2 linked regions of the Danio rerio genome follow. The protein of the gene in region 1 interacts with the protein of each later gene in a biochemical or structural test. Links are inferred from orthologs where the notes say so. Each region holds a gene or a part of one and is shown on either strand. Other genes may lie near its edges. The genes, in order: abcc4 and mpp1.

Evidence for each region.
Region 2: the proteins of abcc4 (region 1) and mpp1 form a complex in vitro, tested with the Homo sapiens proteins (2 studies listed by BioGRID and IntAct, with this or other methods). The link is inferred for Danio rerio from reciprocal best matches to the Homo sapiens genes ABCC4 and MPP1.

What each region holds. Positions count from the first base shown.
Region 1 is NC_133181.1:8,263,110-8,266,948, reverse strand, and holds part of abcc4 (ATP-binding cassette sub-family C member 4), read right to left. Parts: intron 3,615-3,839; coding exon 3,504-3,614; intron 1-3,503. UniProt on the Homo sapiens protein: ATP-dependent transporter of the ATP-binding cassette (ABC) family that actively extrudes physiological compounds and xenobiotics from cells.
Region 2 is NC_133196.1:48,093,850-48,097,688, reverse strand, and holds part of mpp1 (55 kDa erythrocyte membrane protein), read left to right. Parts: intron 1-319; coding exon 320-398; intron 399-631; coding exon 632-717; intron 718-1,768; coding exon 1,769-1,837; intron 1,838-3,839. UniProt on the Homo sapiens protein: Essential regulator of neutrophil polarity. Regulates neutrophil polarization by regulating AKT1 phosphorylation through a mechanism that is independent of PIK3CG activity.

The sequences.
Region 1 (3,839 bases):
AATATTCAAGCGCTCTTTCAATTTGGCTGCTGTTTCCCCAACAGTGACTTCCGGCAGTAAATTCTACATCTGCAAACAACAGTTTACTTGAAGGCAGAACATCAGTGTTTACGTCTCGGCCCCATTGAGCTGCTGCTGGCAATAAAAGCTTCAGAAATGAGTGTCATGGCCCCGAGCTCTGAGCTAAATGAACCAGCACTGATTCATTTAAAAGTGCATGATTAGAGGCTGGAGAAACAGTGTGTGTGGAGGTGCTTTTTAATGAATGACAGGATTGTGTTCGCTGTCATTAATTTCCACGCTTTCATGGCTGGAGATAAAAACTTTTACGGCTGATTATCAGCGGGTTTTCTCCACTGTGCTGCAAATAATTTATCTGCTTATCTGTTCTTATGTAATAAAACCTCAAGGTGAAGAAAAAAAAGAACATCAATATGAATGGCTAATCATACTTGGTGATTTAGTTTACAATATGTAAAATCGTGACTGAGAGAACAAATGACAACTATGAAATTTGGATTGTACAATGTCTGTATTTTATTCTGTGAAGAGATCATTTCTCAATAAAACTATTAGTGGAAATCAATTATGACAAAGCTTTAAACTTGAAGTACTGATAAGGAATTTACTGGACTGTAAAAAGGGGCCGCAAAGTAGACAGGCCATGTGTTTGATTAGTAGGGAATAAACAAACAGATACAAATATTTACCTTAAACACATATTAACTTGGATAGAGATAAGATTATTTATCTACAAATGTTTAAATGCAATTTCATGAGTTGAGGGGATCACTCTGTACCCGAAACGCAATAAATAGTAATAACTTTATAATAACTGCAAAAGCTATTACGAAGCTTTCATAAATGCTGATTTAAAAGTAATGCTAAATAACAATTCTGAAATAGTATTTGAATTTTATGCAAAACACAAAATGTTACATTCCTCAGAAGCCAAAAGCAAAACATTTGCAAACCAACAGTAAAAAGAAAGATATAATAAAATTGTAATTAAATGCAGGTTTACAAAGACTGATGACCTACTTCCATGTAATAAAATACAATACCATTAAGTATAAAATTTTACATATCAAAAAATAATTGTCAGGGATTTTTAGATTTAAAAAAAATAATCTTAGGGCACATTAAAAGGCTATTCAATTACCATAGTTTAGCCCTAAAATATTGTATTATTTGTATTACTAATATTAGTTTTAATTACTGTTATTAACTGCATAAATTTAACTGTATTCTAACTTTTTACAAAGCAATTTAAAAGATTCAATAATTTTATTTAAAAAAATACACTGTTTACTCACACAAAGTGGATTTATTTGAGATGGTAAATGGATGGATGGATGGATAGATAGATAGACGGACGGACGGACGGAGAGACAGACAGATAGACAGATAGATAGATGGATGGACATAAGAATAGATAGACGAACGGATGTATGGACGGATAGATGGATAGATGGACGGATAGATAGACAGACGGACGGACGGACGGACGGACGGACGGACGGATAGACAGACGGACGGACGGACGGACGGACGGACAGACAGACAGATAGATAGACAGATAGATAGATAGATAGACAGATAGACAGATAGATAGATGTTTATTATAATTACATTAATATATCATTAATACATGCATAAACAAATGTACTGTACTTAACTATTCTTTAAAGTAGTTTTACTTCAGTTTACTACTTCTCAAAATGAGTAGCCTGTAGGCTCGTTTTTAGTGTAGTTCAAAATGAAAGTGAGCAGGAAAAGCAGAGGGAGCATTAAGTTAACCTCACACACCCTCCATCCTGCTCTCTGTAGCCTCTGCCAAGAGCTCTGCTCCGTATATATAACAGTATAACCATTTAAATCACGTGCCCTTGTGGCCTGGTTCCACAAAGTACCAGCATACAAAAAAACGTTTTAAATATTGAAATAACATCATGAAATTGTGTAGTTTGTGAAGATTTGTTTCACTGCATCTCTAAAGGGAACATTATACTTTTTCTTTCTTTTTAAAAAATATTATTATTATTTGGGTAAAAAGACATTTGCAATACCTTTCCTGGTTTAGGAAACATCCCAATGCCACCCTCTCTCCTGAGGTTTAGATCTAGATAAATATGTAAATATGGGCTGTGTGACTATCTCAATAACAAAACCAAAACAAAAATGAGGAAGCCGTTTGAAAAGCGTCTCATCTTTCTATATGAAGTATTGAACAGAAAACATTTTGCACGTTTTACGCGCTTATCCCGGAATTCCAGGAGACAGAACAATACGAGAGATGGGTCTGAAAAACGGGAGACTCCCGGGTAAAATGGGAGTGTTGGCAGGTATGGTCGACACCGACGACAGTTCATCAAACTGGGCTCAGCTGAGTCAGAAGCACCGCTGAAATCCTCCATTATCCAGGTTAAGTTTCTGCAGGAGTTTAGGAGCTCACAGAGACGGATGCACCTCAGAAAGGATCTAGTGGACTCAGACACGGCCCTAAACGTATCGATTAAAGCGGGGTTTGACGCGCAAATGAAGCGAGCAAACTTAAATGTTCACGTGGCTATTTAAGCGCAAATAGGAAGATTCCAAAGACTTGCATAAGTCTTTGTTATTAATTATATATTTATTAATTATATAGTATTTTTTTAAGTGTTTTGAAAATTAAGCTTTAATGGTGCTACTGTATATACAAATACATTTATTATTGTTATTTCTTCAGTGGTTGTTATCTGGGAATAACATACCTTGGAATATCATGACGGACCAATCAGAATTAAGTATTTCAGAAAAATGTAATAACGTTAGTTAACTCACTGTGCATTAATAAGGACTAACAATGAATGGCTGAAATATCTTTAACTAATGTTAACAAGGAGTAATAAATACTCTAGTAAATATGTACATAGTTTGTTATATGAAAAATTCTCTAATGGTTAGGACTCCAAAAACCTGTATGAGCTTGTGTTATTTGTTTTATCTCTGTATTTTAAAAGCTTAAAGTATTTTGAAAATTAAGCTTTAATGTCGATATATGCAAATAAATTTATTATTTTTATTATTATTATTATTATTAATTCAGTTGTTCTCTGGGAGGAACATACCTTATAAATGTTGTAATTGACTAATCAGAATCAAGTATTTCAGAAAAACGTATTAACTTTGGTTAACTCACTGAGTTAATATAAACCAAGTAACATTATCAAAGAATAATAAATACTTTAGTAAATATGTACAGTTTGTTCGCATTACTAATCTCAATGGAAGCTTAGTGACCCTTTCACCGTGCATGCATAATAAATGTGTGAATGATTTAAGAGATTTTCACAAGAGCTCAACATTGCATAATGCACAGCTTGCACAAACCAGTGGAGACCATCACGAGCTCGACACCTAATGGGAACTGCAGCGTTCTCACATTTCACGGGTGGACTCTCTGAGGGTTTATTTGAGAACAACCTGTTCTTGCGTCGCTTTATTCCCAGCGGTTCACTCACCTCTGCAGCTCCTCCCCGAGTTTCTTTGACCGATCCTCCGGAAGCACATTAAACATGTCATCCTCCTCAAGTCTCCTCTTAGATCCGATACTGAAAAGAGGATTCAGCCAGCTGATGATAAAGGGGAAGAGAATCAACATAAAGCTTTAAATGTGCATGCTGAATTATTGATGAGTGATGACAGTGGCCTAAAGCATTTAAACCACATGTTCAAGTGATAGTGAAAAAGCACAAACATGCATGCAGGTAAGTAGGGCTGCACAATACTAGAAAAATTACACATTGCAATATTTTAGCATTTTGCGATATATATTGCAATACGAATACATTTCACAA
Region 2 (3,839 bases), on another chromosome or scaffold:
CATAACTCATTAGGAGAATAAACACAACCCTGTTAGACCATGCATTGCGGCACAGACCGCAATTTTCAGTCCTTAAAATAGCAAAAGTGAATTCGGACATGCCCATTTTACGCAGCTTCTGCTTTCTGAGCTTTAGACTTTGCGCTTAGATCTTTAAAATAGAGCCAAATAAATCAAATTTTGCAAAAATTGTGTGATCAATGGGCAAAAACTGTAATATGACCTTTATAATACTGATAACCATGACAATTTTGTTTACCATAATTGTGATATGAAATGTTTATACGGCTACATCTCTAATTGTGCTGTATGCTTTCAGGGAGTAACTTTAAAGCTGAATGAGAAGCAGAGGTGTACAGTGGCCAGAATACTGCACGGAGGAATGATACACAGACAAGGTTCAGTGTGTGTGTGTGTGTGTGTGTGTGTGTGTGTGTGTGTGGTACATTGTATTACTTACACTGTGGGTACCAAATGTTCCCACAAGTATAGCAATACCAGTACAATTTGGCCTCATGGGGACATTTTTGTTGGTCCCCATGAGGTAAACGGCTCATAAATCAAACAGAATGAAGTATTTTAAAAATGTTGAAAACATTAGTAACACTGTTTTTCATTTCTTAAAAAACAGGTTCTTTACATGAAGGGGATGAGATTGCAGAAATCAACGGGAAAAGTGTTTCTAATCAAAGTGTAGACCAGCTGCAGAAGATTCTGGTGGGTATTGAAGTCCTTTGTTTGTAAAGAATAAATACATTTTAGCATGGTTAAAAAGAGCATGTATTAGAGAAATAAATTACTTTGAAATGATGCAATGCTATTGGATACTCAATTGCATTTATTTACAAATGATTGTAGTGCAGTCTAAAACTCTTATGTGTGGGTAAAAATTACACCCTAATACACTGCTTTATTTATTTATTTATTTATTTATTTATTTATTTATTTATTTATTTATTTGTTTATTTGTTTGTTTACTTATGTATTTATTTTATTATATATTTATTCATTTATTTATTTTTTATTAATGTATTTGTTTGTTTATTTATTTATTTATTTATTTATCTATTTATTTATTTATTTATGTATTTATATATAAATTACTTAATTTATTTGTTTGTTTACTTATTAATTAAATAATTTGTTTGTTTACTTATTTATATATTTATTTATATATGAATCACTTAATTAATTTGTTTGTTTGTTGACTTATTTATTTGTTTACTTATTAATTAAATAATTTGTTTGTTTACTTATTTGTTTGTTTGTTTGTTTACTTATTTTTTATTTGTTTGTTTATTTATTTACGTATTTATGTTTGTACTTTCATTTTAGTTGTCTTTTATTTCTTTAGTTTTAATTTCCAAAAGGAATCCTCATTGCACTTAGCAATCATAATAAAGCTTGTTAAGTGGATTTTATGATTTATGAAGGAATTATACTGCTTTGTTTTGTTATTTCATCTTCATTTTCAAGTAGCAGGGTATTTACAGCTACTGTTTATTTCTGTTAATACTTTCTGTGCACTCTAAGGTAAAAAAGGACAGTTCCTAGTTCTTATCATGGATGTCAATGGCTGCTTTTTCCCAACATTCTTCAAAATATCTTTTTTTGTGTTCAACAGACGAAATAAGCTTGTTTAGAACTGTGTGTAAATGAGGACATTTTCATTTTTTGGGTGAACTGTCCCTTTAAGTAACCTTCAAAAGTGTTTGTGTGTGCACATTTACTGTGATTTGACGTGTTTCTATACTGTTCCACATAACAGAAAGACACAAACGGCGTCGTCACGCTGAAAATCATCTCCAATCAGCAAAGTCGACCAATGGCGTGTGAGGTGAGTAAAACATCCGCGTCACATTTGACCAATACCCTGCTTCCATTTGTGTTTCATGATCACAATCGACTGCATCTGCAAATACTCCCTCTAATGGGGTTTGATCACTTCTTTCTTTATCTGCCTATTCTGTATGCTTGATTAAATAAAGGTGTGGGGTTTATCATGAGAAAGCAGTGAAATGCACAGGTGACTATTAAATCGACAGTAGCAGAGAATAACTGTAGATTTACTCACTCATTCAGATAATCTTCTGCCATCTGCTGGTCACACAGCGTCAAACACGAGTTAAAGGGATAGTTCACCCACAAATGAACATGCACTCAGTGTTTACTCATTCTCAAGTGGTTCCAAACCTTTAGGAGTTTCTTTTAAACACGAAAGAAGATATTTTGAAGAATGTAGAAAACCGGTAACCATTGACTTCTACTGTAGCTAATTCTATGGAAGTCAATGGTTACCGGTTTTCAGCTCGTTTCTTCCAAAGCCATGTCCAAAGTGTCTTCTTTTGTGTTCAGCAGAATAAAGAAACTCATAAAGGTTTGGATCAAGTAAAAGGGTGAGTAAACAATGACTGATTTTGTGTTATTTGGTGAACTGTCTCTTTAAATTAAGCAGACGGTGACCATGTGATGAGCTGTTGTAGTTTTCTTCTTTCATTATATAACAGAAACCATTCTGATATTGTAATGTTTGATCACGTAGATCCTTCTAGAACTCTGCTTATAGACTATAGTGACATAGTTGTAGTTATAGATCTGTCTGTCTGTTTGTCTGTGTGTAATTGTTTGTACCTTTGTCTGTTTTATATATGACATGTATTTAACATTATATTACATACAGCACACACTATTTATTTATTTTGTTTGTTTATGCTCAATGAAAAAATAATAATTTTTAAATGTTTTTTTTTTATTATTTACTTTAAATGTATTCATTTATTTTAAACTAAATAAAAAAATAATAATTAATTATCTTTAATTGTATTATTTTATTTTGTATTATTATTTATTTTTAATTAAACTTATTCATTTAGTTTACATTTTATTTATTTATTTTAAACTTAATAAAATAAAATAGTTAATTGTTTTTAATTGTATTATTTTATTTTGTAATATTATTTATTTTTAATTAAACTTATTCATTAATTTTACATTTTATTTATTTATTTTAAACTATATAAAATAAAACAATTGTTTTTAATTATATTATTTTATTTTGTAATATTATTTATTTTTAATTAAACTTATTCATTAATTTTACATTTTATTTATTTACTTATTTTAAACTAAATTAAATAAAATATTTAATTATTTTAATTGTATTATTTTATTTTGTATTATTATTTATTTTTAATTAAACATATTTATTTATTTTATATTTTATTTATTTATTTATTTATTTTAAACTAAATTTAATCATTAATTATTTTTAATTATTATATTTTATATTATTTATTTTTAATTAAACTTATTCATTAATTTTACATTTTATTTATTTACTTATTTTAAAATAATTAAATAAAATAATTAATTATTTTTAATTGTATTATCTATTTTGTATTATTATTTATTATTAATTAAACATATTTATTTATTTTGCATTTTATTTATTTATTTATTTTAAACTAAACAAAATAATTAATTATTTTTAATTATTATATTTTATATTATTTATTTTTAATTAAACATATTCATTTATCTAACAATTGTATTTATTTGTTTTAAATTAAATAATTGTTTATTTTTAATTGTATTATTTTACTTTGCATTGTTTGATTTTTAATTACTTTAAAAATAAATAAAACTAATTTAATTACTTAATTTTAATTACTTATTTTAAGCTAAATTAAATTTATTTATTGTATTATTATTTTTTATTAATTTTATCAATTTATTTTAAATGTTTTGTATTTATTCTTTTTAATTAAACATATTTATTTTTGATTACATTTATTATTGAAATATTTTTTATTTATTTATGTATTTTTCAGATGTTAGTT